4 linked regions of the Drosophila melanogaster genome follow. The protein of the gene in region 4 interacts with the protein of the main gene of each other region in a pairwise test. Each region holds a gene or a part of one and is shown on either strand. Other genes may lie near its edges.

Region 1 (6,448 bases), on a different chromosome or scaffold from region 4:
TAAACCTAATAATGAATTTGAAAATTATTTTAAAATATAAGTTCAGAATAGTTTCCTAGTTTTCCAGTCCAATGTATGCACGTCATTTTCATTTATAAGGTTCCGCAGTGTTTCAAAGGACTGAACCATGAAATAATTATTTTATATGTTATCCATTATTTATTAAACATCTTATTTTTAAGAGTGTACTGAATCCACCACAATGGTCGCCGAAAGGGGGTGGTGCAAGGGCGGAGGTGCATGAAGCCGGAAAACTTCTATTACAACTGCCGCGCACCAAGTCGGGAAAATTAAAAAGAAGAGAGCGAGATGGAGATTCAAACCGAGACAGAGACAGAAGAGTAACTAATGGCACAACAGCCACATTTAGAACCGATGTGTTCAACGCAATACCTACTAAAATAGCAATTTTTGTGGATTTTTTGGGTTTTGAATTTTATGTGTACACACACTGAAGCTGTATTACATTTGGACATATGTATAATTATAAATTCAAGCTAAATTTTCAGCTCAAGGGAAGTTTAATTTTCGATAACTGCATTCTGATTTGAGCAAATATAAAATATCCTTTGAGTTATCTTCTACTGTCAAAAGATTTAGATAAAAGATTTAGTTCCTTATCAATAATGGGGGCTTATTTCTCGTTTCATATAGGTTTGGAAAACAAATTGCATTATCGTTATTTGTCACGTAGATAGCTGTGCTCACCGGACAAAATAGTACAGTGCATGTTTATTTAACTTTTTTTTCGCTGTACTTAAGGTTCCAAAAATAAACATTTGTTTAAAAGAGGCAAAGGAAATATGTAGAAAGCTTGAGTAAGTTTGATACATTTAGGTTGAAAAATAGTTTTAAAAGTAGAATTATATGTTATTACCAAACGCCCCGAAATATTTTACATCTATGAAAATCATGTCATTGTATAGATTCGATTTGTTAAAATTTAGAACCCTTTTGCCCGTTTTTTCGACCAGAGTTTAGGTATATTCGCTAAGAACGAAGTTAGCACAAGGATCGAGGATGGGTCACCGCAACATTTGCTGCAACGGCTGTCAAATGACGATCTTCCAGGGTAGCCGCTTCCGGTGTTTGCGCTGCGTGAACTATAACCTATGTGACATATGCTACGATCATCAGATAGAAACGGAAGAGCATCGCGCCAATCATCCCATGCAATTGTTCCCTGACTCGGACGATCTGGTTCCGCTGCTTTACGGCGAAATCCCAGAGCTGGTCCACCTGTCCAATTGCTTCACCTGTCCACATTGCGGCCTACTTGCGCTCACAGCGAAGCGGTTCATCGAACATGTTTACGTTCAACATCGGGTGTCCAATGAATATGTGGTCTGCCCCATGTGCGCCGGACTGTCGGCCGCCGAACTGGTGGCCATACGCCACCTTTCCAAACATCTCCTGCACAACCACATCGATCACGCCAATTACCTAGAGCCCGACACACCGCCACTACGCCGAATATTTACCCGTAATCACATGCGCCACCACCGCCAATCGCAGTTGCAAACAACTCCGAATTCAAGGATATTCGATATATCCGTATGGCTGTCAACTGGACGTGTGAGCTCCGATCCCCAGCTCCTAAGCAACAATGATCCTCCAGAGGAGGCAGCCAATTCAGAGTCCCTGGCGTTAGGCTTGAGTTCCGGGGGGCCATTCGAACACGACGACGACAGATATGTTCTACTTCAGTGGATTGCACAGCAAAAAGTGCAGTGCCACGATACGGACGAATCTCAAAGGCTGCGGCGAACCCTCTTCGTTGAGCACTTGCTGATTTCCATGCTGTGCTGCGAGGAGTTGCAGTTGCCGGATGGAGACAGACGAATACGGGAAGGAAATGGGGAGAGTGATCTAGACCAGGAAAACCATAGCAGTCTGGTCAAGGTCATGTCAGTGATGTCACTGCCGTGGACAGGAGTTTGGCAGACCAACCAGCTAGACGGATCGGAGGGGGAAGGCGAGATACGGGCAGCCAAAAAAGATGGAGTCGATCTGGACAAGGTGCAGATCGAGGAGCACAAAAGGGTGGCTGCTGAGGAGGCCATTGATTAGGATACTCGAAATTGTATCTGTTTTTTCAATCATGTTGAATCCGCTTTTTAGTTGCGTTACATATTTCAAAGAAAAACAAAATTTTTGTGAAAATTTGGCTTATATTTATAATATGGCTTTTATATTTTGGCTTTTATTTATATTTACAATGTTTTAAGTAAAACCATTTGAACATCTGAAAGAGAAGATATTTCCCGTTGTCCCTTATGTTAAGTGTATTTATTTCTGGGCACTATTTAATAAATATAAATGAATAATAAATATAAATTTATTTTCATAAAACTCATAAATTTTCGAGAACGATAAAGTAAAAAATTCCAATTGTTTTTTTATCATAAAGGTGTCATATTTTTATTGAGGTATCTGCGTTAAGACGGTGCTATGAATTGGTTTTTACCAGCCTTGTTGCTGTTGCTGCTGCTGATCACCGAATCCACCTCCGAATCCACCTCCAAATCCTCCTTGCTGCTGCTGCTGCTGATCACCGAATCCACCTCCGAATCCACCGCCAAATCCTCCTTGCTGCTGCTGCTGATCACCAAATCCACCTCCAAATCCTCCTTGCTGCTGCTGCTGCTGATCACCGAATCCACCGCCGAATCCAAACTGAGGTAGGGCAGCGGCCGCGGCGAATAGGGCAATGAAGAGGATCTGTAACAATATTAAAATCAACTTAGTTCTTAAAGGTTTTTCTTTGAAGCGTATATGTAAAACGTACCAAAAACTTCATGGTGCTGATACTTCGGTTAGTCTTGCTAATGTGAATAAAATTTTTGGACGCCTCCGATCTTTTATACTCTCCTGCAATCTCATCATGTCGTCACGCGCCGAAGTATTATCAATGTTCTGACAAAATCAAGTACAATTAACCCAACAAAAATACGAAAAAAATTTCCAGACGTCTGGGAAATTAATATTTGAGCACTGTATCAATGCCTATGCTCAACGGGGGGAACCCTTCAACATCAATCTTATCTGGGAAGTCGAGCCTAATCTAATAAGTCCGCAACAGTTGCTAAGAAAAACTAAGGGCGACTTAGAAGAAGACGTTGTTTGAGATTACTTTAGATCATTTATGTTCCGTTTTCACGCATCACAAACGTGTTACGGCAACAAATGTTCTTGTTTGCTTTTCTGGGTTATCATTAGACTTTCGAAATGAGGAGGGATAATTAAGTATGAAATCCTTGTAATCATGGATTAATTTTTTATACATACGTATAATTATGTTATGTCTTTGAATTTTAGCGCTTAACAGGTTAGACCACTATAGTCGCATTCCTCGATTATCAGATACCCATTTCTTAGCTAATAGAAGAACTAAGATATTTACAAGACAAGACTAGATGAAATCAATGAAGAATCTAGAGTGTTGTTGGCACAGGTTCTGAAAGAATTGGAACTATTTAGAGGTCTGAATCTCATTCAGTTCATACAGACAGGCTTACAGACAGATGGCCAAACGAATACGGCTAGATAGACTCCGCTGGTGATGCTGGTGAAGAATATATATATTCTGTATAGGTAAAGGTTCGGCAACGCCTTCTTCGAACTCCCACAGACTTTTTAAAGAATTTGGTATACTCAATTACTCCACAAGTACCGTCTATAAAAACATAGAAATTATGTGTCTTAAAAAATTGTATTTATTAAACTAATAAGACTAGTTTATTTCTTTACATCCTTTTTTTTAAAGAAATATTATTTGTATTTTTTTTCGCTGTGTTTGGTTACATTCAAAAACATTTAAAATTTTCCAAACCAATTGTACTTTTTTTGAGAGCAAATTCAGCCTAAAAGAATACTGTTAAGCTTGTGAATTTAAATGCAGCGCTAAAAAGTCTTCGCCGTTTCTTATACTTTTTTTTTAGTGGCAATTGAAAAGCTTTTAATCGGTATATAGCTAATCAGCTCCAAAATAAGCAAAACAAATTAACAAGAAGAAAGATCAGGCTAAAGGTCCTCAACCCCTGATCAGAAATCAGCTCTGTTAATGCAGTGCTAGAATTTTGCTACCTCATCGCAGACGCTTAATCTAATAATCACAGCTTGGGGTATATAGATTTCGATAGGAAATAATAAGCAAAAAATAAGAAAATTTTGTTTTTATTACTTTGTTTTGGTGCAAATCGCTCCATTCGGCTTCCACCTGCTATATGTTTATTAAACATCTTATTTTTAAGAGTGTACTGAATCCACCACAATGGTCGCCGAAAGGGGGTGGTGCAAGGGCGGAGGTGCATGAAGCCGGAAAACTTCTATTACAACTGCCGCGCACCAAGTCGGGAAAATTAAAAAGAAGAGAGCGAGATGGAGATTCAAACCGAGACAGAGACAGAAGAGTAACTAATGGCACAACAGCCACATTTAGAACCGATGTGTTCAACGCAATACCTACTAAAATAGCAATTTTTGTGGATTTTTTGGGTTTTGAATTTTATGTGTACACACACTGAAGCTGTATTACATTTGGACATATGTATAATTATAAATTCAAGCTAAATTTTCAGCTCAAGGGAAGTTTAATTTTCGATAACTGCATTCTGATTTGAGCAAATATAAAATATCCTTTGAGTTATCTTCTACTGTCAAAAGATTTAGATAAAAGATTTAGTTCCTTATCAATAATGGGGGCTTATTTCTCGTTTCATATAGGTTTGGAAAACAAATTGCATTATCGTTATTTGTCACGTAGATAGCTGTGCTCACCGGACAAAATAGTACAGTGCATGTTTATTTAACTTTTTTTTCGCTGTACTTAAGGTTCCAAAAATAAACATTTGTTTAAAAGAGGCAAAGGAAATATGTAGAAAGCTTGAGTAAGTTTGATACATTTAGGTTGAAAAATAGTTTTAAAAGTAGAATTATATGTTATTACCAAACGCCCCGAAATATTTTACATCTATGAAAATCATGTCATTGTATAGATTCGATTTGTTAAAATTTAGAACCCTTTTGCCCGTTTTTTCGACCAGAGTTTAGGTATATTCGCTAAGAACGAAGTTAGCACAAGGATCGAGGATGGGTCACCGCAACATTTGCTGCAACGGCTGTCAAATGACGATCTTCCAGGGTAGCCGCTTCCGGTGTTTGCGCTGCGTGAACTATAACCTATGTGACATATGCTACGATCATCAGATAGAAACGGAAGAGCATCGCGCCAATCATCCCATGCAATTGTTCCCTGACTCGGACGATCTGGTTCCGCTGCTTTACGGCGAAATCCCAGAGCTGGTCCACCTGTCCAATTGCTTCACCTGTCCACATTGCGGCCTACTTGCGCTCACAGCGAAGCGGTTCATCGAACATGTTTACGTTCAACATCGGGTGTCCAATGAATATGTGGTCTGCCCCATGTGCGCCGGACTGTCGGCCGCCGAACTGGTGGCCATACGCCACCTTTCCAAACATCTCCTGCACAACCACATCGATCACGCCAATTACCTAGAGCCCGACACACCGCCACTACGCCGAATATTTACCCGTAATCACATGCGCCACCACCGCCAATCGCAGTTGCAAACAACTCCGAATTCAAGGATATTCGATATATCCGTATGGCTGTCAACTGGACGTGTGAGCTCCGATCCCCAGCTCCTAAGCAACAATGATCCTCCAGAGGAGGCAGCCAATTCAGAGTCCCTGGCGTTAGGCTTGAGTTCCGGGGGGCCATTCGAACACGACGACGACAGATATGTTCTACTTCAGTGGATTGCACAGCAAAAAGTGCAGTGCCACGATACGGACGAATCTCAAAGGCTGCGGCGAACCCTCTTCGTTGAGCACTTGCTGATTTCCATGCTGTGCTGCGAGGAGTTGCAGTTGCCGGATGGAGACAGACGAATACGGGAAGGAAATGGGGAGAGTGATCTAGACCAGGAAAACCATAGCAGTCTGGTCAAGGTCATGTCAGTGATGTCACTGCCGTGGACAGGAGTTTGGCAGACCAACCAGCTAGACGGATCGGAGGGGGAAGGCGAGATACGGGCAGCCAAAAAAGATGGAGTCGATCTGGACAAGGTGCAGATCGAGGAGCACAAAAGGGTGGCTGCTGAGGAGGCCATTGATTAGGATACTCGAAATTGTATCTGTTTTTTCAATCATGTTGAATCCGCTTTTTAGTTGCGTTACATATTTCAAAGAAAAACAAAATTTTTGTGAAAATTTGGCTTATATTTATAATATGGCTTTTATATTTTGGCTTTTATTTATATTTACAATGTTTTAAGTAAAACCATTTGAACATCTGAAAGAGAAGATATTTCCCGTTGTCCCTTATGTTAAGTGTATTTATTTCTGGGCACTATTTAATAAATATAAATGAATAATAAATATAAATTTATTTTCATAAAACTCATAAATTTTCGAGAACGATAAA
Region 2 (7,028 bases), 2.3 Mb from region 4:
ACTTTTCATGGCCGAGATCTAATGAGTTCCATTAGGCGGGGTCGGGACGCCCGACACGCCCCCCGTTTGCACGCTTGAAAGTACAGATGAACTGGCGCTCGTATGTAGGTCAAACAGCTGATTGGCGACTGCGCATGTGACCCAAGCGTTTCGCCATCTCCCTCGCTTTTTGGAGCACTGAAAGCCGCCAGCAGGAGCCAACTGTGGGTCAGGTTCGTCCTTCGCCTTTCGCTTAGTCCTGCGGTAGATTAGCTTGTGCGTGGTCAGTGCGGCTGTTTGGCTTGATTTTGTCCTGCATTTGCTAGGTCCCTGTTTTTTTTTTGCGGTCCTCACAAGAGAGTTACTCAGTCAAAATTACACCGTGTGCTGTGCGATTTTCTGTGTTTTCTGGTGTGACAAACTATTACTGCGTGGGAGTTTGGGAAAAACCATCAGGCTTTTGACTGTAACCTCAACCTCTGGGCCTGCAAGTGAATCAGCTGTTGCCGAACAGGGCTCGGAAAAGTCACTTCAGAGAGAGCAAGAGAGAGACAGAGAGTGAGAGAGAGAGAGAGAGAGAGAGCGCGCGCGGAAAATTGCATGCGAAGCGTTGCCAGACATTCGAGCCATCTCCCGATGTAGCTGTTTATAAAAGCAGCGTGCAACGGTCGCTCCGAGTCAGTCACGTGCTTGCACTTCGACGTATACGTAACGCGGCTCGCCAGCTCCGCTCTTGGGTGATCCGTTCGACAAATTAGCCGTAGCCGTAGTGCCGTAGCCGTAGCCGTAGCCGTACTTCCGCAGCCGTATCCGTATCCGTAAACGCGCCGTCGTCGTCGTTTTTCGTCGCGACTGAGGTGCGATTGGCTGCCAATCGCGCAATTGGAGGGGCTAGCTAAGAAACCAATGCAAACGAAACACAAACCTTAAATCCAAATAAAATTGAAATATATTAATATATATATATCCCGAAAACAGACACCATTCATATATATATATATATCCTCCTAATATATATGCATAATTTTAGAGCGCAGTTCAGGGCAGGCTTTTCTAGGCGAGTTGTTCTCTATTTTGATAGCCACACACAAGATAAATTGAATTGAGTGCAGCGCGTAAGTAACCAAACGATGATCAAAATAGTAATGCAACCAACTAGTCGACAGTCCATGTAAAATAACTTAGCTTTATTAACCAATCACGCATACGCACCGTGCGCCCAACGAATTCGAATCAAAAAACAAATAGAAAAGAATATAAATAAACAAAAAACGAATTAATGTAGCACTGCCAGAATTACTTCAAATCTTTTGCCTGCCTTCTACAACAAATTTCTAGCCAAGTAGTCGAAATTCGTGGCCAAGCGCTTAATTTCACCAATCAGAAGCTAGTGCAAACTAATGCCAATAAAACACAACTCAATCAATCTAGCTAGCTCGTATGTACTGTAAATAACCAATACTCTTTGCTAATCTAGATGTAGTTTAACCTATTCTTACTCAGTAATTGCAACATCAACTATGTAAAAATCTATCTAGAGCTAGAGGCTCGGCTCGCTTTGCATTTTGTAATTTCGTGACCTTTGTGCCTGCACCGCACCACCCGAATGTGGGTGCAGTCGCAATAGCACCCGTACACGTACTTGTAACCACAAAATACTACCAACTACCAACCACCCACAACACACTTCGCATCCGTATCCGCATCTGAATTCGCATCCGAATCCAAATCCGAAAGCTATATCTTAATCCGACTTCGATGTCGCGAGGAGTGGAAATCCGTTTGTGAACGGCCATCACTTGAAAAATTGAAAGAGAGACTAGCGACCACGGCGACACCTCGAATTTGTTGTTTGTTAAAAACACTTTGCGTAAATAAATACCAGTAGCCGAGAGACACACGCACACACGTACACCCCCTCTCTCACAAAATATATACATAAATAAATATATATATATCTGCCACATCATGCGCGTTATCGTTCTCAAAAAGAATCGGCCCAACAAACGCGGCACGCCCACGGCAGCAGCGGCCACCTCCTCGCGAGAACCGCCCAAAAAATCGCCATACGCAAAAGTAAGAATTTGAATTTAAACTCGATACTCTCAATATTTGGTTTCAATTTTCGACGATGAAATACTCGTTATCGCGATAACGAGCGTTTCAGCCTTTTGTTTCCTGTCCAATTTGCCAGTGCAATCAATTTTTGAGATTCCTACACCCCGATATTTTATATTTTCAGTGTGCACATTTGCTGGATTTTCCCATGCAAATGTGCAAGTTTTCGCGCCGCTCGTGTATGTTTCATGATTTTGAATGCAAATGCAATTACTTAGCCACAATAAACGCATGTTTAAGTAGCAATCTGTGCATACATATGTAGCTCAAAAATTGGTTGTAGTGGCCAGGCATGTTATAACTTAACTACCAATGAAATATTTGTTTAAATTACCATATGCTTTACCATATAACTAAGCTAAAAACGCTTTTAAGTCAGCATTATATAGCATTGTTTTAGATATGAAAATGACAAAGTATTGCAGTATATTGTGTATTTTTTTCCAAATTATTATGAGTACATGCTTTTTCAATTTGGGAATGCAACAACACAAGTAAAAATTAAATAATTGTAAGTAGGAGCTTGCAAATTTAAATGTATAGTTTAATTATCTTGAATTTAATTAAACTTCCTCCATTCGTGTGAACAGCACTTCCGATTCCTGCACGTTACGACGAAGTTTTTGCTGCAATTTCAAAACCAAGGAGGCAACCACTGCGCAGAAATAGATTTCAAGAACTGAAATTTGTATTAAAACGAAAGTTAAGGGTTAAGAAGGGGTATACACATACTACTACTACTTCTTTACTCACAAATAGAAATGGTAGAAAAGAGAAAAGTCAGCAGCTCGTCATCTTGCATGATATCATTACAAGTGCTAATTAACAAGGTTATAACCGTAATACAAATCCAAAGGACGAGACAGGATATGTGACTCTGGAAAGAGTATAGTATTATGTATTATTTGAACTCGTATGAAAGCTACTTACCCATTCTGCACCTACAATAAGTAGCACTGATCTGAAGATAGTCAACGAGATTAGTGCTTTTTGGAAGAAGAGGTTAGTTTCAAACATAGGCGTTCTCATGTTGGGTCCCAGCATATCTCCGTCCGGTTCCCTAGTGACAAGCATCGAATCCGGTGACTCCGTAGTTGTGATTGTGGTCTTGACCTCCATCTCCGACAAGTAAATGCTGCACATTTGTAGCACATTTACCAATGCTTCGAATCCGGCGATCAAATTGCAGCCCGTTTTCAAGCTGAAGAAATAAAAGCAGCTATTCAGTGGCTTTATTCCATTGATATTTTCATTAAGTCGGGTCCAGTCATTGGGGGAATTCAGAAAATTTCGAATATACGCCATCCTCAACCGATTTCAATAGATTACTGAAATAAATGCCGCTAAACAATTCGTTGCCAGCCTACTAATGAACTTTTCATCGATAGCCTGTGATTGAGTTTTGGGTTTACTTCCGATTCGGTCAATCGGAGTTAAGTGCACAAGAAAATCCAATTTGATTTATACGCTGCGGCAGGGAGAGCCCCAAAGTGAAGGAAAATCTAAAACAATTCAATTTTCCAAGTGTTTCAGCCAGAAAGAGAAAAACAAAATAAAGGCAAAAGCGGACAACAAAAAATCGCTTCCATCCTGTTCCGCCAAACCCTCCGGTACTTGTTCAACTTGTTCCGCCCGATTCGATGGCACAATCAGTTGCCCATAAGCGAAATTCCTTTACTGATTTCCTTTTAAAAGCATTTTTCGAATTGTCTTGACTGCGAAGCAACCACTTGAGTCAGTCCGTTCGACTTTCGTTCCTTATTCCCTCATTTCAGTTTCATTTCGGCCCTGTTTCAAAAATGCCCGAAGCCAAGTCGTATTTCCCATTTATTTATTATTGTATGGCGTGCTGCTACTGCAATGACATTTTGCTGCGAATATCCCTTATCGGTTGCCATCCGAGCCAATATGCTTGAATTATTCCATTTGGCTCGAGAGTGGAAACTCATTCAATTAATTAATCGTATTGTGACTGGGAATTATTTTTACTGATTTAAAATGCACAAACGGGCCACCTGCAAAGCAGATTAATTTCGCAGAACTCGAGAAGAGGCTTTCGGTCCCTAGGATTTATGGTTAAGCATGTTGCCGCGCGTCGACTGAAGGTCAAAAGCTGTGCTCCTTTTGTAAAGGGTTAATTTTAAATTTATGGCCCTGCCCACACTAACTTATTCGAGTCGAATCCTTGCCCAGGGACCTACGACAAATCCGTAGGCCAATCGTGACGGAAGCACACAAATTTGCACGTTAACCGCAACCAAAGCTACAATGGTGGTGTGCGTGGGAGTGTCTCTTTCTGCGTGCGTGTGTGTGTGTGTGTGTGTGTGTGACGAGTGCTTGTGTGGGTGTAGGCTGGTGTGTGGGTGACACGGTGATATTTCTCTGGGTCCTGACACGTTATCTGGGCGACGACCGTGTTGGTTCCTACTTTATTTTATTGCTTTAATAAATATGAAATGCTCTTACTTTTTTTTCCGGACATTCGGCATAGTTTTGCTTTTTTCGCGCCACTCACCATTCCCCATTCACCACTCGCCCCTCGAGTGCCACCAATTAAGTTGCCCAAATTGTGTTCTTCTTTATGACAATCCTCTTAATCTTAATCACGCGACTTGATGTCCACAAGGAATTGATGCCCGCGCGTTGAATAGGAATATTTATACGCATGCGGTTCTATAGGTCCATGGGTCTATGGCTCTATGGGTCTATGGGTCTTTGTATTTGGAAGCATAATTTGCTCGGGCATAAATTTTAATTAATCATAAAAACGCTGGCATAAAAATGCCAACAGGTCCTGGCAGCGTTTTCTTTCTTTTGCTCAGTTCTCGCGTCTCAATCCCCTGCAGCCTTCGCCTAGCACATTCCATCCAGGAATTCATATTCATGTTTAATAATAAATCACAAGATGCCGCCGCTGTTCGCCAGGAGCTGGGGATGCCCGGGGGCAACTGCGGTTGCATCCTTGGAATCCGCACAGAAAAACACTGGGAAGGCATCAGACGAAGGCGAAGTCAAATGCCAAAGGAAGCCCCAGCAAAATGGCGGCGGCATAAAAGGATTTGCGGCTAAAGGCAAATTTAATTAAAGACATCAGCACCGCCTCACACACAATGGCGCTGAATCAGGAGCAAATCCCTTAGCCTCAGCCGTTTTAATTGCCCACTACCTGTTCCTGTTCAGTCTGTTCAGCAGTCAAGCGGCCAAAAAGGACGAACCGAACAATGAACAATGGGTATTCATTTGCGAATTTCGGTATCAATTAACCGACCGCCCATTCATCATCAGAATCGTATCTAACGGATGTATGCTTCAACTAATTTAGTGAATGAACACGAGGAGAAAATGTTTTGCAGTTCTGCAGTTTTACACTGAAGGTTCTCGCTGTTGGCTGATAAATAATTAAGTGGCAGGGTCACAGCCACCAATGCAAATAAAAAACGGTGAAGCAAAGTGAGTCGACTTTGAGGTACCCTGTAAAATGTCATGTGTTAAATATCTTAAGTCAAGCGAAGTATGCTCCACGGCATTAGATACATATCTTAGCTAAAACTTTTACATTTTCTCTTACAAAATTAGAAAAAAAAAATATAAGAATTTTTTTAAAAAGTCAACTAATGTCCCAAATGCTGATTCTAAAAAAGTTGTAAATGTACACTGCTGCTTTTACTGGAGGCCAAGTGGGAGTGCCTTCGGGGTCGTTTGGCTGAAACTGATGGACACTTGGACAGACAGATTTTTGGCCGCTTGGCGCTCTGGAGATTTCACATTTCGTTGACGCACGAATGGCACGAAAAACAGTTTCAGTTTTCAGTTTCAGTTTCGATTCCTGGCACTCGCCATGGGTATCTGGTATATGGCATATCTGCATGTGAGTGTGTTTGCATTCATTAAAATTTCATTTGAAAATCAGCAGAAATGCTGCTCTAGCCTCTTCTAGTCATTTGTTTTGCCAGCCACGAGAACTTGCCATTGTATTCCCCTCGGATAGCTGCTCCTTGGTAGGGAAGTATTCGCCTGTCAGCAGGAGCCAAGTTGATGGAAATCTGTGAAATTGGTAGAAAAAGTGCAAGGACAGGCAAATCGTAAGTTGATATGCTTGTGTCTTGAATATTTTATTGCTGGAGAGATAAATCTGATCCGCAACTGAATACATGTGCCGAGTTTAGCACTAAGCACAAACTAAGTTTCACTCGCATTACATGTAAATTAAATATTCGTAAGCACGTGAAATAGAGACATAATAAGAAGATATGTCTTCGTCTCTAAAACATTAGGAATCTAAGGTGTTTTTATATATTTAATGTGATTAGAATTTTGAAAAGCAGTCTTAACGAAATCTTTTCCTTTTTTAAAGCTTCAATTTTTACTCGCGAGTATGGAAGTTGAACTAGATAACAGTTTGTGTTGCCATTATTAATTTTACTAGGAAATGGCCTTGCTTTCGCTCGCTGTCGTTGCAAATCGAATAACATTTTTATTCTTCCCTTGGCGATTTCGGTGGAATTTACGATTGCGTCAAAAGTATGCCATGCTAGCCAAGCCAATAAAGTTCACTCTTTATGGACGGAAAGGATTCGTTTGAAAAGCAAAAACGACCTAATGGTTTTAAAATTCGCTCACCCACTAATGCGAACCCTTCAAATCCTTCAGCTTTTGCTGGTCCTGCGAAGCTAACGGCTGTTTATCTGACATTCATAGTTTATGCTTCGTGTTCTGTTCACCTTACTCAACAAGATAAACGCAGTCGAAATTCCCTGGGTGAAATGGGATAAAGGAAGATGAGCAAAAATATGGCTAGGAAACAGGGAAAACCACGATAGCAAAGGTGGAGGTGGGGCGATGAGCCAGAGCAGCAATGATAAAACTAGTAAAGCATACAACATTGTTTGACTTTGTGGATTTGGTGAGGCATGGAGCAATTCCACTCGTAC
Region 3 (8,673 bases), 6.1 Mb from region 4:
CATAACAGTTCGCTTGACTTTTGTTTGCGCAATTCGTTTGAAGAGCCCTCTAGTGGTCAGTTTTCTCCAACGCACAACATCACTGAAAAAAACTATCGCTCAACTTCAGTAAAATGTTTAGAGAGGTGGCTCTAAACACGAAGTTTATGTTGCTAAAAGAAAGAATATTTTCATATTCCGATGGATGTGCCCGCTGTAAGGAAAGTGCATGGATAGGAAAAAAAGAAACCGCTTTCGACTATTATATACCCTTTACACGAATCATTGGAGAGAAACATAAACATATATATGTAAGCCTTAACGCTTTTGCTTCCAACTTTTTGTTCCACATGTGCTCATAATTTGTTTTTGCGTGGACTAACTTAAAACATTTTATATAGTTATCGAGAACGTTCATACGGACGGACAAACGGACGGTCAAGGTGAAAAACTCAAAATATTTTGTATCACCGGTATCGCGAACCTATTTTGAAATCTTAATTATTGTCGAAAATATTGTTGAAAGTAATTTTTCTAAATATATTTGGTATTTTAAACGACATGTGTTTGGTACTTGTAGTTATGTACATATTATTTTAATATTCGAATGTGTTAAACATTGCTTTAATAAAAAGATTAACTCAGTTGCTTGGCAAGTAACGCTGGGTTTTCGTATCAAAAACAAACCATACACTGATGACACTTAGATTTGAGGAGTTTGGTTTCTTATTCAGTAAATATTCACTAATAGTTATATCGTCTCCGCCGGTTGGTGTAGTGAATGGCCAAGATGATGGCCAGCAATAGAATGACAGCCTATAAGAAATAAAGAAATGAGTTAGAAATTTGCTCCACCGTAATAGAAATAAAGAGCTCTTACGTTGAATCCGAGCAGACCCCACTCCAAATAGCCCAGAGTGGTTGCCTCATCTGCAAAAGCCTCCTCCACTTTGATGAGGCAGCCGCGCACATATAGATTCAGTGGATTCACACAGCTGTCGTCCTTGCAACAGCTACTTGGAACGGTATTGTTCCAGAATTTGATATCCAAGTAGTCTTGGGCACTGTCGCGGCCACAGCAATAGTACTAAAGTGATAGAAATATATAAACACCAAAATTAAAGGAGAAGGCTAAGCATACATAAATATGTACTTCAGCAGCTTTGCGCAATTTCTAATACTACATTATTAGAAATAAACATAAGCTAAAGCGTTATATTCAATTCAAACCATGTAAGATAACACTAGCTAAAAAAGAGCACGGCCCTAACGCCTATCTACCTTTTGCTTATGTACTTATGTATATAACAAAAAAAATTCCAAATTAAAGCACTCTTTTAATCTTTATTTTGGAAGCATTTGAACAAACAAACTAGCCTTTGCTTTGTTACATTGGCACTCACCGTTTTCTGAATAATATCCATACTGCCAGGCTTCGTCTGCTCCAGCTCCCACTGATTCTCCACCGTTTGAAGCGCGTACTTTTTAAATACATCTTTGGGATTCAGGATGATAAACGCCACTATAAGTAGCAGCAAAATCAGCAGCAGTGACGCATACTGCAAGGCAATTAGAATTATTAGCTCATGTATGATTCACCTAATTGCAATATTCAGTTACGTACCGTCCAGAGCATGCGCGGCGATTCGCGAACGGCTCCACAGCATCCAAACAGGGATATTACCAGGATAGTACCGCCCAGAATTAAGATGCCGATGGCATATGCATCTGGCATTGCTCCCCAGCCAAGGCCGCCAAAGATGAGCACCAGGATACCGAGTATCTAAAAGTCAGAAAATTAAATAGTCAATAAATATGTCCAGCATCCTCTAAATTATGAATATTATCTATCTATGTAAAAAATTGCCAAACAAAATTGGGTTTATAATCTCAGACCGCCTAGCCCTAAAAGTTTTTATAAAACACACATGCATAAAAGCAAAGATTAAAACAAGTCGAGTTCCCCGACTATCAGATACCCGTTACTCAGCTAGTGTGAATGCGAACGCTAATTTTTATATTTTTTCTGGAATATCGATAGATATTGGGGAATAAAATGAGAAAATTTAAAAATTGTTCAAAAGCTTGGACAAGCTCGATTTTGTGGGCGTTAGAGTGGGCGTGGCAGCATGGGTCAGCAAACTTACGCTGCGTCTTTGTCGCTAGAAGCTGCATGCTGAATCACAACCTTCTAGTTTTTATTGTTCCTGAGATCTCCATGTTCATACGGACAGACGGAAATGGCTATAGATCGACCTGTTCAAGCAAATATAGTATACGCTTTTACGAGTAATAGACGTAATTAAGAAAACAAAAAATGTCTCTTAAATTGTTTGAGCGACTGCGTTTTGGAATCATGACAACATTTTTTTAAAAGCGCTGAAGTGGGAAGTTCATACGGACAGAAAGACAGACGGACAAACGGACATGACCAGACCGAGTTGGCTAGAGAGTGTGATTAAGAATTTGTATACTCTCTAGGGTCGAAGAAGAATTCCAAAAGGATCAGTCAACAATCTATTAGGATTGGGCTTACATCAGACCATCGCGGCCTTGAGAAGGCCACAGAAAGTTTTGATGCATATGGGCACCGACTAATGCGTCGAGCTCGGCCTCATCGCTATTTTCATCATTATCTGGTGAATAATCCGGTTTCCATATTCCGCTCGAATTAGCCTTTCAAACGAAATCCGAATGCATGACGCACTTCAGCAACCTCGTTTCGCCGCTTGGCTAGCAAGCCCTCCTCTTGGCTTAAGGAACTAAAAGGCCGAGCAGAAGCCATTAACAATAGACACTGGCTAACACACACAGCCAGCCGCGAAGCGTTGTCATAAACCAAACACGCACCCGAGATGATATCATCCACCGACCAGGTGGACGTGGAACGGACAGCATAGACCCCAAACACCGAGGCTCCCCTCACACAAATTTCAAACCATCGCAATTAGCTGGCTATTTGTAGAAAAGAACCGGCAGATACGCAGATATATCGCTTAGACTCCCAAGGCACCATATGCCAATTCCAATTCGGTGCTCTACTTACCGCCCATAAGGCATTGAACAGGAACAGCGAGTACTTTATGGTGCCCGTTGCGCAACCCATTTCGAATGTTTTTCCACTTCAAACTTTTGCCTTTGGCTAGAATGCAACCGAATCGCAGTGCCACAAGTGCGGCAGTTTGCTGTGCCGCCGATTATTTTCAGTTTTTGAGTCCGTATCGGCGGAACCTGACTGAATCGGTTAGGAGTGCGCACTGGTGCGGCCACGGTCACGAGCAAACTGAGCTCCCCGAAAACTCTCTCGCTCGGAATCCGATCCGAGTCGAGCGGTCCGAAGCTCCAAAGCTGCCGCTTCTGCACCGTGGGTTCAATGAATAGAATAGCAGCTGTTCATGGAGCACCAAAATTATAGTGACGAACACTGCTCCTAATACTTAAGGCAATGCAGAGTGTTTCGGCACGAATCAAATGATATGGACTTCCTGTACGAATATGAAATACGTAATCAATTTTTAATCAAATATCTTCTCTAAGCAAGCTCTACGAAATTGATTCTTTTAAATTCATTTTCACAATTGAACAGTGATTGAGTTAAAATGATGTGCCCCACAGTGCCAGCTAGCAGTGTTTGTTAAAGCAAACAAAAGCAGCCGGGCACACACATTACTATACAGTAGAACCTCAATAACCCGCTCCCAGACGATAGCAAAAGTTCATTGCTTATTGTATTGATTTTCGTTGATACCATAGATGTTATTAAAATGAGAGGTTACAAAATATATCACTATCTTGTTATATTGATTTGTCAATTAATATACTTCGAGTGACTAAAATCCATTTAGCCGAATTCGCCTGCACTCGCAGTAGGCAAATCAAGAAAGTTAAAGGTGGCGGTGGCACTCTAGTGCGGCTCCCGCCATTCGGAAGCCAAACAGAAACTGAGGCGGGAAAGTTCGAAGCGTGGAGCTGGTTATGCTTGACAGAACTGAAGCGAAATCTATATGTCTCCGTTTGCCAGATGTTTAGCCGCGGTGTGTGTCTTATCGAGAGCGGAGTTGGGTCTAATCGACCACCGCCTCTCAAAGCAATTTACCAACGATCGAATTAATGCCGGTAAGATTGATTCAGCTCGATTGCGTCAGACACTCGGCACTGAATGACGCCATCAACATCACCGGATGAGCTCAGTTTCCGATGCGGAGTGCAGGATCCTGACTTCCACTATCAAAATAGAAACCCTAAATGCATTGCTCACTTTGTGTGAATCTTAAAAGTATAGGAGCTATATACCGAAAGACAGCTGAACTGACCCTGTTAGGCAAATACATAGTTACAAATACAAAGTTACTAGTTTAAAAATCACAATTTTAATCAGTTCGGATTGAACCCTTTGTATAATCGGAAGTATTCGTTTCATCGGGATACGCTTTTATTTCTCCTGGGAGCATCAAAAACTTTATACAAGATTACTGTAAAGGAATATTGGCGCCCTAATAATATATTCAGAATTCTACGAAAGTATTCCTTAGTAGGTGTAGCGAACGCGCTGCTTCCTGAATCTTCCGACCAAGTAAAAGGCGGCAATCATCATTAGAATCTGTAAAAACTCTGTAAGATTAGTCCCTCCATGTGTAGTTCACACATTTCACTCACGGTTATTCCCAGTGCTATCCAGTTGGTATCGTGGGCGTAGCTGAAGAGCACCACAAAGTTCTCACTGGACTTTTGGACGCAACCAGCTAGATAGTGGGGCATCTGGGGGTCCTCCTGGGGATAGCAGCTGGGCGGCAAGGTTTGACGACCGATGGCCACGTAGTCGTCGGGGCTATCACGCCCACAACACTCGTACTGTTAAGATAATTCATAAAAATGATAAACGATAATGCCAGCATATTAAATATATTCGATTAAAAGTGCATGATGCGAATGATCTTCGCCAGAATACGAACCACTGTCTGGTAAATGTCCATGGCGCCGGGTTCCACCAGCTCCTCGTCCCATTTCATCTGAACCTCCTCGGCGGCGAACTTCTCTATGTATTCCTCAGTGAACTTGAAGCGGAAGATGCCTAGCAAGCTGATTATTAGCTGAGCCAACAGCAAGAAGCCGTACTGTTGACATACAACACACAACATAGAGTGAGTGAATTACCAAACGGATGACATAGCGTTTCCACTCACCGTTGCGGTCATGCACACGTTCTCCATGCAGATTCCACAGCATCCCAGTACAGCCGAAACGAAGATAATGCCACCGAGTCCATATAGAAACAGAATGTAGGCGATAGGGGCTTTCGAGAGGGCCAACGTTGCAATGGCTATCAGGGATAGACCCGAAAGCTACAGAGGGAGCATAGGGTCAATTCAGATTAGCATTTGGCAATGATATCGGGTGGTAATGTCAATGACTCCAATGGAGCTTGAGGTATTTTCAAAATATTATCAAATGCCGCGGTGAAGAAACTAGATTTTCCCGTTTATCTGGGCACTGGAATCTCTGTTATTTGATTTGGTGTTTCACAATAACGTTCGCTCTCTTAGTGCTAAATAATGAGTTATTTTTAAAAGGATATGGATAAAACAAGTTTTTGGCAGTTAAAAATCTTGTTTTCTTCCATAATCTTCCATAAATTGTAAATATGGTACAAATCGCAGCATATGGTAAAGTCGTAAAGCATTTCTAGATCAAACAAATTGAATTTGGAATGTGTTGGGGCTAATCATTAAAGTGCGGCAAATGTTTCTCATACATATCTGACAAGCAAATTACGTTTACTGGCCAAACAAATTTTCGATTCCATGAAAACGGAATGCGTACTTGCTTGTCGATTTGCAGAAAAATGTATTCATTTAAATTCCTGTGGGAACACAGATGGCTAATTTACATTTGTAATACATTCTTATAGCACAGAATTACCAATTTTTATTCATATGCATGTGAATATATGCATATGTTAAGAACTCACCGCGTTCAGAGTATTAAGAGTGTTAAGGAAACACTTAACGCAACCGGAAGTGCAGCCCATCCTAGTGCTACGATTAAGCTGTTTTTGTAAAATTCCAAACTAATTCCTCTTGAATAATTAGTAATAGAGAGTAATCTTTGTTGTATGATCGAACCTGCCAGATCGGAGTTCCGATAGACAATGAATTTCAGATGCAAATATTTGCCGGCAGCACGTAAAATCCCAAAATCACGATCTGCGCTCTTCAATGTTCTTTTGTTTTTCAGATCTTCGCAGCCGAATGATGCCGAATTCAATGAGAGAGAGATATAACTGCGGGGAACTCGTTTAGGCTATGGAAAGTATTTATTTTCTAATGGCATTTTAGCTAATTTGGTTAATTTTTATTATCAATAATCATGCAGGGGTATCCTCGGCCATCAGTCGTTGATGGGGGTCTCCTCGTCCTTTATCTTGGTTTTGGCATACTTGCGAGCCTTGCCCAAATGGTAAGCGGTGAACAAGCCCAAAAACTGAAAAATACATAAATTGTAATAATATAATATTGATATGGAATCGAAATCGAATAGACAAGCGAACTTTGTTAAAAAAATATTTTACTGTCTTAACGTCCTTACTACTTTATAACTTTATAACATCAAGCAAAAGCTCAACAACTGTGTACATAAATAGTAACGATCGCACCTTTGACATATTTAGTTTAAAGAAAACTTTAGTAACAAAAATGGTTTGAATGAAAAAACACACATCTTATCTTGGCAGGGATTTCTATTTAAGCGTGACGAATAAAAAAGTAGTTAAAATGTGTTCACTGAGTCAGTTGTGTGCGTTAATTCAAAAGTTATTGGATAACTCTTCCATAAGCGACGTGCCGAAACATACCCTTGTGCTCAAGTACCCTTGTGGCAAGTGAATTTTACCCTGCGTATGGTTTAATGTCTCACCTCGAGGGCAATGATCGCCATGCAGCTGTAGTAGTTGAGCTCCGCCTGCATTCTCAGAGTAGCTACCGCCTTGGTGGAGCATCCCTCCTCGTAGACGTGCGCCGGCTTGGAGCAGTCGAAGGCGTAGCAGCAGCTGCTGGGCAGGGCGCCGTGCTCCTCCTGAAGGTAGTCCTGCGGTCCCTCAATGCCGCAGCAGCCGAAGAGGCTGTGCACTGGCTGCATCTTGTCGTCGCTGTGGGTCTTTCGCTCGAAGAGGTCGCGCATGCGCTCCTCGAACCTGCCCATCAGCTGCTCCCGCATCGCCGTGAAGGTGAAGAGGTAGGAGCCCAGGGCGGCTATAACCAGGCCACTGCAAATTAGGTACTGAATGCAAAGAGGTTAGTCTGTGACTTGCAGTTGTGAACGCAGTTTACTCACGTATATGGAATACTTGTACGACACCTTCAAGGCCACGTACATGCCCAGGAAGGCGACTCCGAAAACTGCTCCTCCGCAAAGTGCCGACCCATAGCTGCCGTAGACGGAGACGGCCGAACCCCAGGTGGTCACGCCACAGGAGAAGAAGAACACGTTGCACGTCTGAACGAAAGGGAAACAAAATAGTTAGTTAAGTCCTTAGTACTAAGGAAAATTATGGACTAAATTACTTCCTAATCTATTTCTTCTTGAACGAACATCTTTCTCGCAGAGTTAGAAACTAAAACTAAAAGTGTGGCCCCAATAACTTAATAAATTACTTGCCAAGGTTGTGCGTATGAACTTCAGGAACTAGCTATATGGAATGCATTATTATTTAACACCTACCGATAAGGCGTAATAGTTTTAGGGTTTATTATTTTTAATAGGTGAAAGTTACTTATTAAATCGTTGATCAGCCAGCTTCAAAGTCTAAATATACATTTTGTACTGACCTAATAATATTTTAATGCCGCGACAAGCACTTTAAATAATAAATTGCACGTGTAGTGCTGGGGTGCCAAATAAATAAATACAAGCACGATTCATTAGCGTCTACAGCGTCATTTTTTCAACTTACATTTGGCAGTCAGACATTACCAGCTATCCATCAACTAGTTTTCTAAACTATGGTAAAATGAGCATTAGGCATTTGGCATTTGTACTTGCTAAGCACCAAAATGAAAATCTATGAGACTATAGCATGCAAATGCAAGAACATTTTATGCTTTCATGCTTAATCAATCTCTGACATTTGTAAACAGTGTCCCATGTGCATAATTGTATAAGAATAAATTATATAATATAATAGTGAATTTAATTGGCGTAAGCCACCCAGAATTGCGGGCCATTTATAGATATTGCAAAAATTACAAACAGCTGGCCGGCGGAATTATGTAAGTATGTGAACAGGTATTATGCATTTATAAATATTTTTTGAGATTGCATCGATTTGTTTATAGTCTTTAGCGGCTCATTGTCACCAATTTTTGCTCTCTTGCGAAAGATGTGAACTTGGGCGCAATATTGATTTTTCGATTTTGGCTCATTGCTCGCATCACCGGGTGTTGTGCAAGATTCCCATTTGGGTCAGGCTCGGGAAAATGGGAAAGCTCTGGAATGGGGAAATGCGCATCTTTTTCACTTACCACAATGAGAATGCAGGTGACCAGTAGGCCGTACTTCCAGGGTGTTATGGGAAACGACTTCTCCATGTTGCCACAATGTCGCACGTGAGTTTCCTTGGCAGTTATGCTTGTGAACCAAAGTATCTGGCTGCCGATAGAATGGAAGATATGACCTCCGAGTTCCGGAAACTCGCTCGAT
Region 4 (8,287 bases):
AATTGCTGTAATTGCATGTTTTTGTCGCCAAATGTTGCGTATTCGCACTGATAGCACCGCACCCAAGTTCATAGTACGTATACGCTCAATTGGCGCTGATTGCCGGCTGGCATATCGGCATCGAAATCAGAGCGCTATGTGCACAACATCATGATTTGGGGTCGTCGTTGTCAAGTTCATCAGTGAATCGAATGCACAAACATGGGTTTGAAAGTCGAAGGGTTATGATTATTGCTCACAGATTAGGTCGCCACTCGGAAACAGCTCTGCTCCACTGGCAATCAAATCGTTTCAAAGCATTTCCATTCCATCTGGCTTATTCCACATATTAGTTATTATTAAGCGTGTGATGTGTATCTTAATTGTCATGCAAGAAAAACATAAATAAATAATGAATGTTTCTTTGTGGAAGTTGTTCTTGTAAATTTTACAACAAATGCCACATAATATTACCCTTATCTTTATCGGGATATTCAAAAACGTTTGCGATTGCGCAGGCGATAAGAAACACCAATAAAAGGGCACGTAACTACCAAATAAACTTAATAGTTTTATTTAACCAGCTCTGTTATCTATAACGTGTAATCTTTGAAAGTTTTCCTAGACTTAAAATTTTTCATTAAAATGCAATGCAACAAAGTGCAAAGAGCAAGTGCAAGGCTAGCTATTAACTTAAACAATTCATACTGGACTGGTCGTGAAGAAGTGATGAAAAAATGATGGGGCCAGCAGGCCTTAAAACTTAACAGCAAGGCCATTGTCGAAAGAAGATCATTCCTTTCCAACAACAAGGCTTATAGGACGGAGCTGGAAACACTCTCGATGACCTCAAACGCATTGTCTATTTCCGAACTCTCCAGCAAACGGTTGACAGCAATGCGAATGCTGGGACGGACTGGTTGGCGTTCCCTGTTCTGCAGGTAGGCAGCCTGTACCACAGCCACTCCACGAGCAATGCACTGGGAAAAGTGAGTAGAAATGTATAGTTTTCATAATTGCATGGGGAAATAAAATGCCTACCTTATCAGCCAGCTCTGTTAGAAGTTTCAGTTCCTTGTCAAAGTTCTCGGCGGGCTGGGCAAGATACAAGTGCTTCACTGGTGACACCTCATCGCCGCGCAGGGTTAGCTTGCTGAATCGCAAAAACTTCTGGTGCAACGTCTTAGACTTTGCCTGCAGCTGCTCGAAGATTTGTGGTTCTCGTTCGAAACGATCCAACGCTGAAATAGCCGCCTGGGTGAGCATGGGCGGCAGCGAGGCCGAGAAGATGTAGCCCAAGCCAGAGAGGCGCTGGTGCTCGGCTATGAAGTGCGAGCCAACACAGAAGCCACCGACTGTTGCCATCGAACCCTCCATGCCGGCCGATATCAGATCGACTTCATCACGCTAAAAGAAAAATACCAGTTATAATTTTAGTTTTTCTTTCCGGTTTACCACCTACATCGACATTAAAGTGCTCCGTAACTCCGTGACCACCCTGGCCCAATGTGCCAAAGGAGATGCTTTCGTCGATGAACAAACGCAGCTTGTACTTCTGACGCAAGGCCACCAGGTCGGGAAGTGGGCAAATCTCGCCCGTATTCATATAGATACCCTCGGCGACGAGGAAGCGACGTGTCTTAGCCGCCTTTTTCGGATTTTTCTGGTCTCGTTTTTCTTGCTCAATCAGCAGACGTTCTAGATCCTCAACGTCATTGTGCTTAAAGAAAACGATTGTGCTTCGTGAAGCATCCAGACCCTTCTGAATGGCAAAGTTGACAGCCTCATCCCTACAAATAACAAGTAATTAGTCGCCAATCTGAGTAGGTGAAGTAGACAATCCTACACAAAGATAAGGTCGCCACGTTTGGCATACGCCGGAATGGCACTGGCCACGGTCGAGAAGCCGTAGGAATAGACAATGGCCTCCTCCAGGCCCATGAACTTGGCAATACGATCCTCCAGGTCCAGATGCACGTCCATAGTGCCGTAGAAGCCCCGAGGTCCGCAAGATCCAACTCCGTACTTGCGCAGCGACTTGCAGGCCTCCTCCAGTATCTCCTGGTCCTCGAGGAAGCCAAGATAGTTGTGAGAGCCAAGATTTAGGCAGTCGTGTCCATCGACCTGGATGCGCTTGCCCACCCTGGACTGCACAACGCGGGTGTGCAGCAGGGGATGATTGGGATCGGTGTCGGCCACCAAGGGCTCTGGTTCATAGTCGGCGATTATTCGGTCTTCCTCCTCCTTGGTCAGCTGTCGGCGACGACCTCCTCCTCGTCTGTGGAGCAGCAACCAAATCACGGTTATGAGCAGTAGGGTCTCCAAGACGAGAGCAAACGTGGGGGTCTGTGGAAGGAGTAGAAACTGGAGTAAGCTAAATGTGGTGAAAAAGGCGAATGCAAACTTACGTTTCGGAAAATACTGCCGATTTCGTTGAACAATTGGATGGCCACCATTTTGACAGTCTGGTTCCGTGCCCTTTCTGTGAAAAATCAATTGAAACCGCCTTAATTCCCTGAAGTTATGTGTCATCTAGCCGACGCTTTCTTATCGCGGGTATGCCCCATACATATGTAGAATTGAAGCATTCGACCATACGGTACGGAAATCTTTTCAATTGGGTGTGTATGCTGACATAGGCTAATTGCCAGTGGGCGAAAAATGTGCAACCACGCCCTTCTCCAACATTCTCTTACATTAAATATCCATTTAAATCGAGCACTCACCACAAAACTCAGTTAACTATAGGCAAAATGCGTGAAATATCCGCCGAAACAGATGGATGAACGAATGTACTAAAAAATACCAATACGCGGATATCTTTAAGATGTGCGCCAAATTGGCGGCGATGGAGGAACAGTGGAATATGGAACTAGGGGACGTTTTTATTTATTTTTTGTTATTCAAAAACCTGGTCCTGTCGACCTGTCCCGCCCACCTGCCCCACCGACCTGTCCCGCCGATCTGACCCACCGACCTGTTCCGCTGACGTGTCCCACTGACCTGTCCCACCGAGCTGACTCGCTAACAACAAAATACAACAAGTTACAACAGATTTTAAATTTTTATTAAAAATTACCTAGATTTTATCAATATTTTTATGATACTGAACTCAAATAAACTTGCTACGTAACGGTTCTTTTCTAGTTATCATTTCAAATATATGATCGATTACTATTTTATATCGATAGGCAGAGCAGCGATCGCAGTGTGACCGTGCGGTGGGAAATAACGAAATCGAATTCAATTCAAACCGCCGATCCATTCAGTTTCCATTGAACTGCTGCTGCGATCGGTCAACCGATGTGAATGAGCCGCGTTACTGGCGCCATCTGAAATTCGAGTTCGCGAGATAAAAACCGCGAGAAGACAAAGAACACCGCAAAAAGCCGATGTAAACAAAGAGATATAGTTAGTTCTGCATTTTGCAAGAAAACTTTATCACATTACACGCGAATCGAAACGGATACTTGTATGTGCACAAAGTGAAATCAGCTGGACAACAAGAGTATTTTGCAATTGCCTTGGTTTATTTTCAGCCACTTGCGGCTGTCGTTTTCTGTGAAATTAACACTTTTTTCTATTGGCAGTGATGGGAAGTGTATATTTGGGTGTACCTGGCTGGTAGTCTAGATACAACAATTTACGCTATGTGTCGCGATCTAGTCTAGGTACAAGTATTCACTCTTCCTTGCAAATGTCCTTGTTTTAATATATAGTAAATTCTATTGCATTTCATATAATTATTTACTATTTACCTATATCACTATTCAATTAGACCCAAGGAAATACTTCTTTCAAAGTCACGATTGTATTTAAAATATACATAATCATTTTTATCAAGTTCCATTTCGTCTTAAATTACAATATTATTAAATAATTGCCAACTGATACTGATGAACTATACTATGTAGCTACCAATCAAAGTACCTTTCACATCACTATCTATCAATCAAATAGTTATAGTTAGCATTGCCCATGCGATAATGGCAAACCGAAATAGCGCAAAGAAAAGCCACTTCCTATTTCTCTTGAACTTGATGCGCTCGAATGAAGCTACCATGTCTACACCATGCCCACTTTCGCAGATAAATCGAGCAATGCACCCGACTAACTCCATGACACAATTGATGCATCCCAGCGCAGTATTTCCTCGATTAGGTATTTTCGCTTTTACCCGCTTTTTGCAATGCGCAATAAGTATCTCTTGGTGTGTGCGAAAATCGGTGGAGCAACCAGTTTTCGAGCTGCATTTTGACGTTGGCTTTTCTTTTACGTAACTCGCTGGCCGGGCACGAGCCAAAAACCAAAATAAATATCAATAATAAACACGGCGCCGCGCCAACCCAGTTAGTGGTTTTCACTTCACTTCACCTCACATCACATCACTTTACTTCTTCTTCTTTGCGGGACCTACCAATTCGGTCCGGCTTGCTCCACTAAGCCGGTAGCCAGCACGTTCCATTATCGCACACATCCCATCCGGAATACTAATGGACGGACATGGTGTACCTTTGAGGAAATGTATATGTAGTTGGTTCATGACGATCCATAGTTCGTTGGCCAAGTGAACCCGTCGTATCGGAAATCACCGCTTTGTGCACAGCCAAGTTAAAACGGTCGAGTTCAATGGAAATTGCCTGATTTCGAATTCCACACAGTTTAGTTAGGTGCTGGAGTGCCGATTCTGCCGCCTAAAGTGCCAAATATTCAAAGTGAACTATCAGAAGCAACCATGATGAGTGGCCAGCCACTTGGCTCGAGGGTTTGGCTGTTGTCCGGAGTGCTATTAGTGACATTTGCTGGGACAGATGCCTACGGATTTGGACGTTGCCCGAATTATCCATCGATGCCAAAGTTTAACATGAGTCGGGTAAGTTAGTTGCTGGTTTTCTCATACATACTCTACAAACTCTAACTAAAATTGCTACATATTTCGATCGCTATTTTATTAACAGCCTGTTTGGGTGTTGTAAATATTCATACAGACATTTGTTTGCAGTCTATATATACATATTTGCAATTGGCTTTATTAAACCACCTTTCAAACCTGTTACTAAAGATCTGTGTCTATTGACCCACTGAGTAACACCAGTTATAAGATTACAAAGAATTTATGAGTATGAAAATAACTATGAGTATGAATATATGAGAACTGTTTGTCCTTACAACAACGAGATGCATTGTATAACTGGCCACTCATCGCCTGTCTATTTGCCATCGTCTTAAACGTGTCACATCTTCGATTAATTGGCACAAGGCGTCTGGCGCAGACGAAGACCCCTCTTTACATCTTGGGGATTGTGCAGATGATGAACTTGAACCATTTTAAGGCCACCAAATCCGATCCGCCGTGTAAAATGCAAACCAGTTTTACAGAAGGAGGCGAGCGGCACAAAAGCTTTATGGCCTGCTGATGGTAAACAAGCCACTTATTTTATAAAGAAGTAAATCAACCAGTACCAATGCTGAGACATGGGCACGCCAAGGACAACAAAGTGCACTACAGTGGAACATTCCTGGTGCGAACATTTCGCTATTACAGCCAATATTTCAATCAAGTAATTATGGAATCATCTTGCCAAACCACCGATATGACATCACAAATGTGAAACTAATGTTTTTCGAAAGAGAAAATTAGAAAATTGGTTTCAGGTGGCTGTAAAAAGATTGTTTCAAAGTATTTCTGAGAATCCATAAATGGACTTTGTTTAGTACTCATAAATGCACGTAGTTGTTTTAAGCTATAAAAGCCGACGACTGTTCGCTTAGATACACTGTCGAGATCATGGATAGAAAATTGGAACAATCACTTAAGCAGCTCAAATTAAATTGATTGAGCCTTGATTTGCATAAAAGATAATGCACCATAATTGCCCGGTTGAGGTGGAGGCATTGTCACTCACATTATGTGGGTCTAGCGACCTCCTCTCCACTTCCACTTCCACTTCCAAATGGCACATCATCCAATTGAGTTGTTGACAGGCGTAAATTAAGCCATTTGCCACCGGCCCCGCCCCCTAAACGCACTTTTGACCCGGGGCAAAGACCTCGACTGGCCAGCAGTGGCTCTTTAATGCGATGCGGCGCCCACCGCCGACTTTGAACTGCAAGATGAGCAGCGGCCAAAAGAGCGGCTCTTCTCAATGACCAGCAGCCACAACCGAGTCTATAACCAGTTTCAAAAATGTTTACGTTTTACGCATTGTTTGCGCTAAGTGGCATTTTGATTAGTAACCCAGTTAAGTGTTTCTTGGCCGAGAGAAACGCTGCGTGACAAAGGTTTTGGCTTTCAGACTGATGGTTATCAGGTGATTCTACTTCCAATAAAACCCTTCAGATTTAATGAAGTAATTGGAATATGTAGAAGAATTTCCATTCACTGAAACAACTTACTTAAGAACTTAAGAACATGTTGAAAAGGAAGTAAAAATATCTATTTTATGTAATGTCATTATCTTGTAGGTCCTTGGACACTGGTACGAGGTAGAGCGCTCTTTTTACCTTCCGGAAATCGCCTCCGGATGCACCACCTTTCAGTTTGAGCCGTACAACAAGGGCGAACAATCGAAGTTTTCCAATTTCAAGCTGGCTGTGGCCATTAAAAACATTAATCGCATGTATGATTAAATAATCTAATAATATATATTGTGTGTTAGAAGTGTTTGTCCTTTTTAGAACTGGTAATCCGAATGTGAACATTGGCTATGCAACACCAGAAAACAGCCGATCCTCCATCATGGATTTTAAGGTATCTACAATAAATAATATTAACAACACACAATATACACAATTCCTTTTTCCTAGTTTACCACCCGATTTCCGGACGTGATTGCCCGACTACTGCCAGGTTCCGGAAAGTACCAGGTGCTATACACAGACTACGAGAACTTCGCCATCTTGTGGTCCTGCGGCAGCATTGGCTCACTGGGTCACTCCGATCAGATCTGGATTCTTGGACGTGATCGGGACTTCGAGGTGGATATCCGATCCAAAGTGTACGACGTGTTGAAGCGGCTCTCTCTGGATCCGGAAAGGCTCATCATCAGCAAAAACAAACAATGCCCCGAGGCGCTGTAGGAAGCTCCTCCAGCGTCTCATCCCCCATCTATATGTTTAAGTTCATTCGGTTAAGGAACAAATTACATTTGATGCCTAATCAATTAGGCTGCTGTGATATCGAGGAGTGTGAATCGGCGGAGAGAGGCGAAGCAACGCAAATACAGAAACAAAAAACAAGAGTAACTCGATCGAGGTTTTCAATATATGAACTCATGCCCGCATTGCCAATTAACGCGGGTGTCCTAATTAATTTGCAATAAATAGAATTTCCCAGTCATCGGAACTTAGTCGTGATTTACCAACGGATTGAAAAGGTTCTGGCCGGATAAGATGTCCCGACTGTGGATTTTGTTTTGTCTGATTTTCCTTGTGGCCCAGGCACATATGTCCGATGCGAGAGGAGGTGGAGGCGGAGGAGGACACGGAGGAGGCGGTCATGCTGGAGGTTTCGGAGGTGGCGGCCGCGGAGGCGGATTCGGAGGAGGAAGAGGTGGTTTTGGAAGAGGCGGCTTTGGAGGACGTGGTCCAGGATTCGGTCGTGGCGGTTTCGGTGGACCAGGCCGCGGAGGCTTTAGAGGAGGCGGCTTTCGAGGCTATGGAGGATATGGCGGATATGGCGGATATGCCCGATATGGCGGCTACGCTGGATACGCGGGAGTTCTTCCGGTTCCTCTTCCCGTACCCTATCCCGCAACCTATAATCGCTGCTACTACGATAATTACTATTATAATTACTACTACTGCTGATATGATACGGTTATAGATGGTTTATTTATACAAATTACAATCAACACGTTGCTTTAGTTACAAAGATTATGTAAAGTTACCCAGAAATTCGGGCTGTAGACAGTTCTCTAAATATTCCATATCTCATTTAACTTATTGTTTTGATGGTCTCCGGTGTCTGGTTCCTGTTTGTCCACCCAGTGATCAGCGATCAGTGATCAGCGATCTTTGTGGAGTGCGACTGCGATGGCAGTGCTTAAGCCTAGTCAAAAATATTCCCATTAAAATGCAATCTACATATGCGCATATATATATAAACTTAATCTACAGACTAGATATGGATACGAGACGTTGATGATGCGTTCGTTGTGGCAGACTATTCGATCGAGATCGAGAGATCAGAGGGTATAAGTGTATCAAAATAGTTTCTGTATCGATTAAAGAAAGTTATGTGAGGAAGCATCGAATGAAAGACTTGGTAACGGAGCTATCTCTTAAAGATATGGAGTTGTCATTTATA

Evidence for each region.
Region 1: the proteins of Spt-I (region 4) and CG31775 interact in a two-hybrid assay, tested with the Drosophila melanogaster proteins (one large-scale study listed by BioGRID).
Region 2: the proteins of Spt-I (region 4) and CG34188 interact in a two-hybrid assay, tested with the Drosophila melanogaster proteins (one large-scale study listed by BioGRID).
Region 3: the proteins of Spt-I (region 4) and Tsp42El interact in a two-hybrid assay, tested with the Drosophila melanogaster proteins (one large-scale study listed by BioGRID).

The regions. Positions count from the first base shown.
Region 1 is NT_033779.5:14,734,931-14,741,378, forward strand, and holds CG31775 (uncharacterized protein), read right to left. Parts: upstream 2,840-6,448; 5' UTR 2,801-2,839; coding exon 2,789-2,800; intron 2,722-2,788; coding exon 2,464-2,721; 3' UTR 2,160-2,463; downstream 1-2,159. Other genes in the region: CG31835 (uncharacterized protein), read left to right, coding at 1,021-2,070; CG42585 (uncharacterized protein), read left to right, coding at 5,092-6,141.
Region 2 is NT_033778.4:15,424,573-15,431,600, forward strand, and holds CG34188 (uncharacterized protein), read right to left. Parts: upstream 3,452-7,028; 5' UTR 3,403-3,451; coding exon 3,028-3,402; intron 2,975-3,027; coding exon 2,851-2,974; intron 2,777-2,850; coding exon 2,661-2,776; 3' UTR 2,519-2,660; downstream 1-2,518.
Region 3 is NT_033778.4:7,040,366-7,049,038, reverse strand, and holds Tsp42El (tetraspanin 42El), read right to left. Parts: upstream 3,271-8,673; 5' UTR 3,086-3,270; coding exon 3,026-3,085; intron 1,763-3,025; coding exon 1,604-1,762; intron 1,539-1,603; coding exon 1,383-1,538; intron 1,067-1,382; coding exon 860-1,066; intron 796-859; coding exon 724-795; 3' UTR 501-723; downstream 1-500. Other genes in the region: Tsp42Ek (tetraspanin 42Ek), read right to left, coding at 4,508-4,579, 4,636-4,830, 4,932-5,093, 5,163-5,321, 5,948-6,007; Tsp42Ej (tetraspanin 42Ej), read right to left, coding at 6,367-6,459, 6,892-7,254, 7,309-7,470, 8,496-8,561.
Region 4 is NT_033778.4:13,162,989-13,171,275, reverse strand, and holds Spt-I (serine palmitoyltransferase subunit I), read right to left. Parts: upstream 2,779-8,287; 5' UTR 2,706-2,778; exon of another isoform or gene 2,462-2,705; 5' UTR 2,436-2,461; coding exon 2,388-2,435; exon of another isoform or gene 2,326-2,387; coding exon 1,826-2,325; exon of another isoform or gene 1,770-1,825; coding exon 1,442-1,769; exon of another isoform or gene 1,387-1,441; coding exon 1,021-1,386; intron 969-1,020; exon of another isoform or gene 960-968; coding exon 795-959; 3' UTR 532-794; downstream 1-531. Other genes in the region: GLaz (glial lazarillo), read left to right, coding at 4,715-4,852, 6,445-6,599, 6,658-6,730, 6,787-7,059; CG15870 (uncharacterized protein), read left to right, coding at 7,433-7,804.